Linked DNA regions of Schizosaccharomyces pombe. The protein of the gene in region 3 binds, or shares a complex with, the protein of the main gene of each other region. Each region holds a gene or a part of one and is shown on either strand. Other genes may lie near its edges.

The links.
Region 1: mrpl19 (region 3) and mrpl39 share a complex: the UniProt entries of both Schizosaccharomyces pombe proteins name them as parts of the mitochondrial large ribosomal subunit.
Region 2: mrpl19 (region 3) and mrx14 share a complex: the UniProt entries of both Schizosaccharomyces pombe proteins name them as parts of the mitochondrial large ribosomal subunit.

What each region holds. Positions count from the first base shown.
Region 1 is NC_003423.3:2,700,156-2,703,779, forward strand, and holds mrpl39 (mitochondrial ribosomal protein subunit bL33m), read right to left. Parts: upstream 1,597-3,624; 5' UTR 1,095-1,596; coding exon 1,072-1,094; exon of another isoform or gene 1,021-1,071; coding exon 919-1,020; exon of another isoform or gene 888-918; intron 861-887; coding exon 818-860; 3' UTR 580-817; downstream 1-579. Other genes in the region: ATP-dependent RNA helicase Mak5, read right to left, coding at 1-12, 49-204. UniProt on the Schizosaccharomyces pombe protein: Component of the mitochondrial ribosome (mitoribosome), a dedicated translation machinery responsible for the synthesis of mitochondrial genome-encoded proteins, including at least some of the essential transmembrane subunits of the mitochondrial respiratory chain.
Region 2 is NC_003423.3:3,803,166-3,806,926, forward strand, and holds mrx14 (mitochondrial 54S ribosomal protein bL34m), read right to left. Parts: upstream 1,864-3,761; 5' UTR 1,737-1,863; coding exon 1,410-1,736; 3' UTR 1,166-1,409; downstream 1-1,165. Other genes in the region: cqd1 (ABC1 kinase family protein ), read left to right, coding at 1-1,165; U2 snRNP-associated protein Sap62, read left to right, coding at 2,637-2,762, 3,079-3,520, 3,584-3,669. UniProt on the Schizosaccharomyces pombe protein: Component of the mitochondrial ribosome (mitoribosome), a dedicated translation machinery responsible for the synthesis of mitochondrial genome-encoded proteins, including at least some of the essential transmembrane subunits of the mitochondrial respiratory chain.
Region 3 is NC_003424.3:3,205,367-3,208,368, forward strand, and holds mrpl19 (mitochondrial 54S ribosomal protein uL11m), read right to left. Parts: upstream 1,175-3,002; 5' UTR 1,169-1,174; coding exon 734-1,168; 3' UTR 596-733; downstream 1-595. Other genes in the region: npt1 (nicotinate phosphoribosyltransferase), read left to right, coding at 1-227; cytochrome c oxidase assembly protein Cox16, read left to right, coding at 2,154-2,384, 2,504-2,614. UniProt on the Schizosaccharomyces pombe protein: Component of the mitochondrial ribosome (mitoribosome), a dedicated translation machinery responsible for the synthesis of mitochondrial genome-encoded proteins, including at least some of the essential transmembrane subunits of the mitochondrial respiratory chain.

The DNA.
Region 1 (3,624 bases), on a different chromosome or scaffold from region 3:
AACTTCTGGTAACTGTTTGTTAATAAATTAGATAATAAACAATTATACCTCATAAATTACTTCTTTCATAGCACCTTTTGGCTGATATTTGATATCCACACCTTCAATCTCTTCCAAGCCCATAAACCCATCGAAGTCGTCTAGGTGGTCAGGAAGCTTGACTTCCTTCCATTTAAGCTCGTCCAATGCAGCTTTCTTTGGCATCGTGATCAAAGCGTTGAAAAGTGTAGTAGTTTGCTCCACATAGAAAATGTAGGTAGACAAAAATTTACACTAAGAATTGGAACGAGGGAATAAAAATAATTGCATCGTATAAGCTAATAGAAAACAAATAATTAAATGTTACGAAGACATTAAACGACGATTGGTTTTAGCAATTCAATGCTTTGCCATGTTTTGCATAATTTCTAAATAGTACAACCATTTTGTATTAAAAATATTGCTTGAGAATTTTAGAATCGAATGATCTGAGCTACAGTGCTTACAAGAGTAGTAAACACAAACGATGTTACTACTATAGTTCTAATTCGGCTAGCAATTGGTACAGGTGAAAGGAACATTCTTATTACTTTGAAAATTTGACATCTCAGTCCTTCTCTTAAATAATAATAATAAAAATAGGAATTATAGATATGACAGAATAATATAAGGGTCTTTATGTTCACGCAGCTGTTTAGAATTATGTCGTATAAGATGTAGGTTGGGAAGCTAATACATAATTAATGCACATCCATAAAGTTTTTGAAGAAAAAAGGTAGATTGATCGGTCATAATTTAGCATTTCATTTTCAGACTATCATTGAAATGGAAGAAGTTTTTATTTCATTTTGGATTCTTCGAAAAGTACTCTTTTGTGAATTCTATGGGTTCATTCATTAGCTTCTTAAATGAGGCTTTAGAAAATCCATAATAACTTACTTGGGATCATATTTTATAAAAGCAAGCTTAGGAGCAGCTTTTGGACGTGAACGAACGTAGAAAAATCCAGTGCCAGCGGTGGACAATAATTTTACAAGCAAACTGAAAAATAAATGTTAAAAATGCGCATTAAATTAAGCATGTATGTCTTACCGAGCTTTATTCTTTTTAGCCATTCTGGATATACGTACAGTGCAAGCGGTAAGTTAAAGGTTTTGTAGTTACACCAGGGTTTGTGGGCGAGCTCTTTTAACTTGATGGATAACTTGCAGTCAGAAATGTAAAATTGAAAGTTTGCAATTCAAAGATATTGTTTTGAGTAATGAGAAAGCCTTTTTGCAATCCAATTTTTATTAAATTTGGTTGTGTACAATCGAGGCTTTTCAATAGGTTATTTTTTTGTTTTAGGTAGACTATAGAACTATTAGTAAAGATAAAAGGCTCATCAATGAATTACTTGTTTTGAAAAAAAGCATTTAGATTTGAAATTCTAATTGAGAAACATGCATGACGGCACTTAAGAACGAAAGACGAACAGTAAGAATAAAAAAATTAGAAAGAATTTTTGAATAAAAATAAAATAAAATAAAAAATAAAAAAATGTTAATAAGGAAAGTATAACAAATTGAGTCTGCTGCGTCTCTTCTCCTGATGTCTGCCAATTTAACAGAGAGGAATAATTAACAAACTATAAGTAATCTTATAAATAGAAGTTGCTGTTCTATTAACATTCGAAGAAAAAATATGAAGTGATGAACAACTCTTGAAAAATTCTTTTTTTTTATTACAATTATTATTGTTTTTTAATTATTGGCTGTAGATGGGTATTTAATTAAAGTCCAATCGCGTCTTTGCCAATTTATAATCTTATTTGTATTTCTACATTTTTTTTGGAAAGAATGATATTCAAATGAAAGAACCAATTTTCTTTCAGGAAAAATTCTTTTAGTTAAAATGACATGTACTAGATGAATTAGGACGTTAAGAATGAACTAATTGCAATAGCATAGTTTGCTAGCGTGAAAAAAAAACACAGATGGAAATTAGCGAGCCTAGTAAAGAAACATTTATGACGAGGTGGTTCTAAAAAGCCTTTCGTGTATATATATATATATATTCGGCTCTAAACAAACGCAAGCTTTAAGTATCATTGTAACTGTAAATTATTGGCAATACTGAAAGTATAAGACGATCCTCAAGTTGTAAGCAAACCTAATTCATTTGCTGTACCAAGACTAGGATGGATGAGTTACAAGTCACTTTAAGTGTTTATGGGTCCAAAGAGAATATAAAATGTGTTTTCCCAATTTTACAAGGGTTAGCCAAATAAAGAATGCAAATGAACAAATCGCATGAATTGCGGAAGCTAGTGACATTGTATGACGATCTGCCCGAAATCCCAAGTCCGTATCTCATCCGCGAAATTGAGACATATCACGATGCATACGGAGAAAATCTATACAACGCAAGTATAGCCGCACCCAAAGACGGATATAGAATAGACTGGAGAAGGCTACATCCCTCGGATATGGAGACTGAATGAAAGAATTGAGAGAGTATTTAAAGCTCATTAAGTGCAATGTTTACGATTGTTATTACGGTTCTACATGGTCAATAGTATGGGAAATTTTAAAATAAACATTTTTCCTGGTTGTGAAAATGATGGAGAGAAGCAACGAAAATATCTTTAACTGATGCTTTATATATGTAGAATAAAAATTGAGTTGGAAATTACAGCAGGGATAGTAAACAAGTCAAGGATATGTTACAGTTGTCATTAGAATAACAAAAGGTTTAATAACTATCTTTTAAAGAGGATTTGACATTGTACTAAGGGCTGAGACAACTCGCATTAAATAAGCAAAGGCTGAATTAAGTAAAAGAATATTCGCACTTAATAGAGGAATACTATGTTAAATATAGGATGGATTTGCTGTGTATATATAAAATTATTATCCTCTTATATATACATATAATTATCGTTAATTATTATTTATATTTTATTTTATTTTCTTATCTTTTCCTTGGTTTTTATGTATTTACTAGTAAATCTATAATAATCATTAACTTTAATAACTTTCTTCAACTGATCAATTTCCCAACCAAAATGCTTTGTTATTTGTTCTTTAAGCTTGCTATGTTCTTTAGCTGCGTGTCTATCATCTCTTCTTGTTTGGCTTGGCACGTGCCATTTTACCATTTCTTGCTTCCTCCTACCTTTTAGGCCTTAATATTAACCCCCTGGGTCATCTTTTGGCATATAGGGTAAAGGGGCCAAACTCACTATCCAAGATAAGTCTAAGTATGCAACTGTTAACATTTCAGTTAAGCACGTTGTCTCCTATAAGCAAGTATAACGTAGTTTAAAAAGAACGTTAAGTTAATTAGTCTGCACATAATACAAACATGGGATAGTGAGACAATATCGTCTGTTAGAGTAAATTTTCCTTTCTTGAAAGATTTTCCATTTTTGTGCATGAAAAGGCGTAATTTAAGATCATGCGATGGGTAGTACAGGTCAAATTGATAAACCGACTTTTACCAGTTTGTGCTATCAGATCTCACACTGTGCTCTCCTTCCGTCGCATTATTTTGTTATTTTTTGAGCTGAGTATTCCCGTAATCCAAGGACAAGCGTCAGGGTGTGTACGATAGTTGATCTGTTTAATAAAGAAACATATTATTAGAAAAATTAGGAATCATCAG
Region 2 (3,761 bases), on a different chromosome or scaffold from region 3:
TCGACAGAAAAATATCTCTGATGCGCCAGTGACTCAAGATGTAGCCATTAAAGTTTTGCACCCGAATGTTGAAAAATACATTTCTTTAGACTTACAAATCTTAGGTTTCTTCGCAAAATTAATTAATTTGGTACCTTCAATGAAGTGGCTTTCTCTGCCCGACGAAGTTAAGGTATTTGGGGCAATGTTAAACCAGCAATTGAATTTACATTATGAGGCGCTTCATCTCAACCAGTTCCGTCTTAACTTTAGAGGAAATAGATATGTTGAATTTCCAGCTCCCTATGATGATTACACGACTAATCAAATCCTACTAGAAGACTATATGCCGGGTATCCCATTAAGCGCGTTCCTCAAACATAAGTCAGGACCATTTAACAAGTTGTTAGCTAACACAGGAAATAATGCATTATTTCAAATGCTTATTGTTGACAACTTTACACATGCTGATCTTCATCCGGGTAATGTCCTTGTTAAATTTTACAAAGGAATCCCTAAAACAATCTTTAATCAAGATAATGAGATTAATGACTCAATTTATAAAATTCTAAGTACATGTTCGACGGAGGAATGGGATTCTGCTATGGAAGAATTAAACATCTTGGGCTATCGACCGACTTTAGTATTTTTGGATGCTGGATTAGTAACGAAACTTAGTACGCAGGATCAGAAAAATTTTTTGGATCTGTTTCAAGCCGTACTTACTTTCCATGGCTATGAGGCTGGACTGTTGATGGTTGAAAGGAGCAGGCAGACAGAACGCGTTATAAACAAAGACATATTTGCTCTTAAAATGGAACATTTGTTGAATGAAATTCAAAAGAGCACGCTTTCACTGAAATCACTTCAAATAGGAACTATATTACAAGAAGTAATGACTATGGCGAGAGAGCATCATGTTCGAATTGAAGCAAATTTCGCAAATACTGTGCTATCTATCCTTTTAGTTGAAGGCGCTGGACGCCAACTATATCCAGAAATGGATCTATTAAGTAATGCTACACCATATCTTCGTTCTGCTTCATCGAAATCCAATGTCTCACTCACAAACCCAATGGTTCAATTATGGATAGCTTTAGAAGCTAGACAATTTTTGCTTTTAAGCACCTCTAAAGAAACGGTAGAAAAGTGGGTTAAGTCCGATATGATCGCACCCAATATATAAAAAAATTACGGTTTATTTTATAAATGATGGAAAATTGTTCATGAAAAATATAGTCGCAGACATGGAAAATAAATTTTATAAACTCGTGTTTTAAAGAAGTTATTAAAGTTCAAAGTTCAACAAGTAAAATTAAACAAAGAACCAATGGAAAGAAAATGTATCACAAACTAGAAAGCATTACTTAAATGAAGAATTGATAGAGGTTACTAATGCAAATTAGAGCCCATTAAAAGATAATATGTACTCAATGGCTCAGATACATCCTCCCTTTTTGTCTTCGATCTCGTAAAACACGACGACCGTTAACAGAACGAATTCGAGATAAAAATCCGTGTTTTCTTTTACGCTTTCTATTTGAGGGTTGATACTCGTTTCCATACGTTTTCCAACGCACTTGCTGCATTTGACCGAAGATGTTCATAGTCGGTAAAGAACTGTATAAAGTAGCGGTATTAAAAGGGTTTCTTGTCGGAAACCCTCTCATAGTTCCTCCTCCAGCTAATATTGAAATATTCCTGGCTCCCTTCATGGCAGGATGCAACAAATTTCGAAATTGTTGCATAAACATCATAAAGCAATAGGAATGAAAGCAGGTGACTGGATTTCAAGAGAAAAAATTTCAAAAAATAATATAAAAATTATATATGAACGTAAATGTGCAAAATGAAGAGATTTGAGATGTGATGGAGTAGCTGGTTATTAGAAAGGTTGAAGTGAATCAGTGTAGCACCGTTTGACATTCGAAGTGTTAAATTTCAAATATTTGTGTTACAATAAATTAAAATCTTTGCTAAAATCCAATAACTACGTTTTAATAGTTTCATTCAATTCACTGGAATGTCGGTAATATAATAATAATACTATTATTATTAATAAATAGTTCATTAACCATTCTTTATACGCCCTTAAAGAAAGCAACCTGAACCCCTAAAATTTGATATCGCTTTTGCTTTTTCCCAACAAATAATTGGCATGAGATTACCAAATAGTAAAATCCATCAGTTTAATGAATTCGATTCATGGGCTAAAAGTGATAATTTATAGTACAAAAAAGGTTTTAGCAGTTAAATGACATCTTATACTTTCTTTTATCTATTTTATTTTATTAATAATACCCAGTATTTTAAATTGGAAGCAAATTGCTGCAGTCCCGGCTTTTTAAATATTGAAAGCATATTAAATATACTCATATATGGGAGCATCAATACATTAAATTTATCAAAAGTTATTATTTTTTTTTGTTTTTACGTGACATAATAAAATGGAGAAAAGGAGCTCTAATCTGCTATTTAAAATATTTGTTAAAAAAAAGGCATCGACGATGAGAATTTAGCGTATTGTTCTGCATTGCGATATTTCTTTAAACATAGGGGTTCACGAAAGTACAGCCTCTGCCACCGTCTTTTAGGGGACTTTATTGTCATTGTGAAAGTACAGAAAAATAAGTGTTGGATTTTCTAGGAACTAAAAAATGGATTATCAAAACCGCGCAGGTGTTCGTTTTGGAGGAGGAGGCGTTGCTGGCTATCAAGAAACAAATGCTGCACGTAGAGAGCGTCTTCGTAAATTGGCGCTAGAAACCATTGATTTATCAAAGGTATGTTTAAAAACCACTGAATTCTGAAAATTTGAGTGCTGAATGTCAATTATAATTACCGATGAATTAATCGTGTAAAGTAAGACATGTACGTATGTTACATATTATTGAAGTTTATTAGTAGTTGCTGTTAAATTCGCTAACTATAACAACTAAAATAACAACAATAATAAATGAAAAGGATTTGCTTTCTACTTCCTTGTTTGCTGTTTTGCATGTTACACTAATTGGACATCTTTTTTTTACCCTGTCAATCACCTTGAAGCTTCCTCCTCAAACTCTTTGCGATGATATTTCTATTGCTAATCTCTTATAGGATCCATATTTGATGAAAAATCATTTAGGCACTTTTGAATGTCGTCTTTGCCTCACTACACATGCGAATGAAAACTCTTACCTTACCCATACACAAGGTAAAAAACACCAGACAAATTTAGCCAGGAGACAGGCTCTCGAAAATAAAAAGTCTCAAGAGAATGCACCACAAGTGTTGTTGGGCATTTCTCAATCCCATGTCCAGGTTAAAAAAAGTGTCGTAAAAATTGGTCGACCCGGTTATAAAGTGTCCAAAATAAGAGAAGCCGAAAGCGGAAAATTTGGCCTACGTTTCCAAATAAAGTATCCAGATATTGAAGTGAACGCTAAGCCAAGATACAGAATTATGAGTGCTTATGAACAGCGTGTTGAAGCTCCTGACCGAAAGTTTCAGTATCTGGTAGTGGCTGCTGAACCATACGAATCAATAGCCTTTAAAATTGGTATGTTGGTTTTACTGATTTTTTATTTATATTAACTTTGTTGCGCAGATGCTCACGAAATAGATCGTGCACCCGGGAAATTTTGGAGTTATTGGGATGCACCTACATATACTATCCAATTCTTTTACAACTTAACAAAAATATCGTAAATTTTGAGCTGCTATCCTAAATTTCCTTTTTATGAAACAAAATGTCTTTTCCAAATATTTCGCTCAGTCTCCCAATTTATCAATACCGCAGT
Region 3 (3,002 bases):
AGAAATGTGGCATTAAGTCTGCATTTGGCATCGGCACAAATCTTACCAGCGACTTCCAAAAAGTTTCCAATCCCAGTGAAGTGAGCAAACCTATGAATATTGTTATTAAGCTTTTTTCCGCTGAAGGAACTAAAGCAGTGAAGATTAGTGACGATATCATGAAAAATACTGGTGATCGTGATGCTGTTATTCAAGCCAAGCATCAATTATGCCTCCCTATAGCATAAGCCATTTCTTTTATTTTCGAGCGTTTCTGCAGTACTAATCTTGGTTTTTTTTTTCTTATTTTTTGATAGATAGACAGAGTTTGAGGCTCTCTTTTATTGAGCTGCATTTCATAAGGCGTGACTTAGAGTAAACATAAAACTCACACTTGAAAATCTTCATTTTCTTTTCTGCTTAGCATATCTGTTTCGTTATCTATATTGATAGTTTAATGCTAAAGGTAATCATTTAGTCTAAGATGTGTTTGTAAACTAACGGTATGCAATTCTTTAATTTTATATGGCAAACGTGTTTTTTTACTTTGCTTGTTTAACGAAGGAATAATATAAAACAACTAAGAAAAGGAGAAAATAAGAAAACAGGGACAACGTTTTAGTCGGTAATAGTAAAAAGTCATATCATTAACTGCTTTTATTCAAGAAAAAAGAGGGGAATAGTTTATAACAAGATAGAAAAAAAAATAACCTCAAGTATGACCAGTTACAAAATGCTCTGGCGTCTCATAAGATTAAGGTACGACTTTGACGCCCATGCTTTTAGCTGTTCCAATGACACTTTTACAAAGAGAAAGAAGCTCTATTCCTTGTAAGCTTGGATCAGTACTTTTCAATTTGGCAATTTCATATATATGCTTCAAGCTTAATTGTCCCTTTATATCATGTAATGGGGAACTTGAACCTTTTTCAAGGTCGAGGGTTTTAGAGATTAACCAACTGGTTGGAGGAGTATGTATAGTGAAAGTAAATGTTCTTTGAGGTGTGACAGTAATTTTACAAGGCACTGGGGTATTTGGCATCCAACCTGCCGTCCGCGCATTAAATTCTTTACAAAAGTCTATGCTCTTCAACCCGCGAGCACCAAGGGCAGGTCCAATTGGAGGCGTAGGCGTAGCTTTTCCTGCCGGTACAATTAATTTTATGATTGTCGTTCTAGTAGAAGCCATAAGGTTAAAGAAGAAAATACAGTTGTAAGTTGTATGTCTCTCATGCAATAAAGTAACATGTTCTTCCTTAAAAATAATTGTAATTAGAATAATAACTAATTTGAAATATTTGGGTGAATTAATTGTAATGTGTTTACTTATTTGTAATATTAAAGCTTTTAATAGCAGTCAGAAAAATTCCCGAATAGACCAAATGTGTCCTTCTCTTCTGCTTGATTGAATAGAAGTAAAAGTATTGACATTAAATAGGCAACTCAGATAAATGGAAAAGACGTTTTCATAAACGTTGTTCGTTTTAGGATTTTTTTGAAAAATTTTAGTTGATTTTTGAATCTCAAATACGGATTAGTTAAAATGTCGCAAAATTTTTCATTTGTTGAACAACAATAGCGCTGAATTGAAGCCGTTTAAAAGAAGCAAACCAAAATTTAGCTACATAGCTTTTCAAAGTTAACTCCTTACTATCAATTAATATATTAAGTTTTTAGGGATTGGCAAATATCCTAACTAAAAAGCATGATTATTTCATTTGAATCACAAGCTGAAATTAAATGGTCTTTTCTCAGCTATTTTATTACTTTCAATAAACATTTTACATACCATTTTATGGTAAACAAAGTAAAACACATGTTTACTGGAAGTCACAGTCTGTCACTAGCACATGCCATCGATATGTTTCTTTTTCCTAATGTGTATTGTAATTAAAACTATAAAGGGTTTTCACCTGAAGTGCTTGGGCTATGTAGGAATGCTGTCACGCGATGCAGCTTGAATAATTAGTAGAAATAAAAAGATTTCAAAGTGCAGATTTCTATTAAAACTCTACTCTTAAAATTAATTATTACAAACCAACGACTATCTTATTAATTTCCATCCTAACATGCTGAGTGAAGTTTGCCATAATCATCTTAACCAACTTGCTATTTACTACACATTCTTAACAATCCATCGTTTTCAGCGAATGTAAGGATGTTAATAAATTAAAATGCTTTTCTATCGATTTAAAAGTTGGTATAGGCTTCAAGCCAAGAAAAGTCCGTTTATTTACGTTGGATTGCCGTTTTTGAGCTCAGTATTATTAGTCTGGTCATGCTTGATCCCCATTTCCCAAGTCAAATTTAACAGACGAGATGAACAAGTTAAATCCTTGTCCCGGGATGCAGAGTTAGACATTATTAAAAGAAGAAGAAAGGTCGACGTTAATGAAGAATATTATGTAAGTAAAGTGCTGATCTTGTTTTACAATATTTAAGTTTTGGCAACCAGCTGCAAAGTGCATTTGCTTTTCGTGAATTTACATTCACCAGTTCCTTTTTTATTAACCACCTGTTATAGAGGATCTTATTAGATCAGTTGAATCTACAGAACGAGGAGTACGAAAATAAACGTGTAAAGAGGTTAAAAGGGGAGCCTACATGGGAAGGAAATTCAAGCGATAAAGAATGAATAATGAACGATTTTATTGTTATTTTGTTCCTTTATTTTATTATTAATTATGGAGTATTGAAAAGGATACAAGTTTTTGAAGTGAGAATGCTGAAGACGACTTTATGATACAGAGTGTTTTAGCATATGGAAATACTCAAATAAATAAAGCAAGAATTTTTTTTTCTAACATGAGAATAATATTTATGTGGCTCATATATAATTATCTTCAATTTAAAGGACCAAATACTTACACTTAAGCATATTCAGTAGAATAAACTTTCAATGAAGATATTTGAGCGTAAATTTCACTATGAATATGTCACTCAAGCCTAAAAGCGTTTTAATAATAGGAGCATTCAGAAAGGTTTCTTTACTAGTAAACGGTTTATTTTTGGCTTTCCGTTAT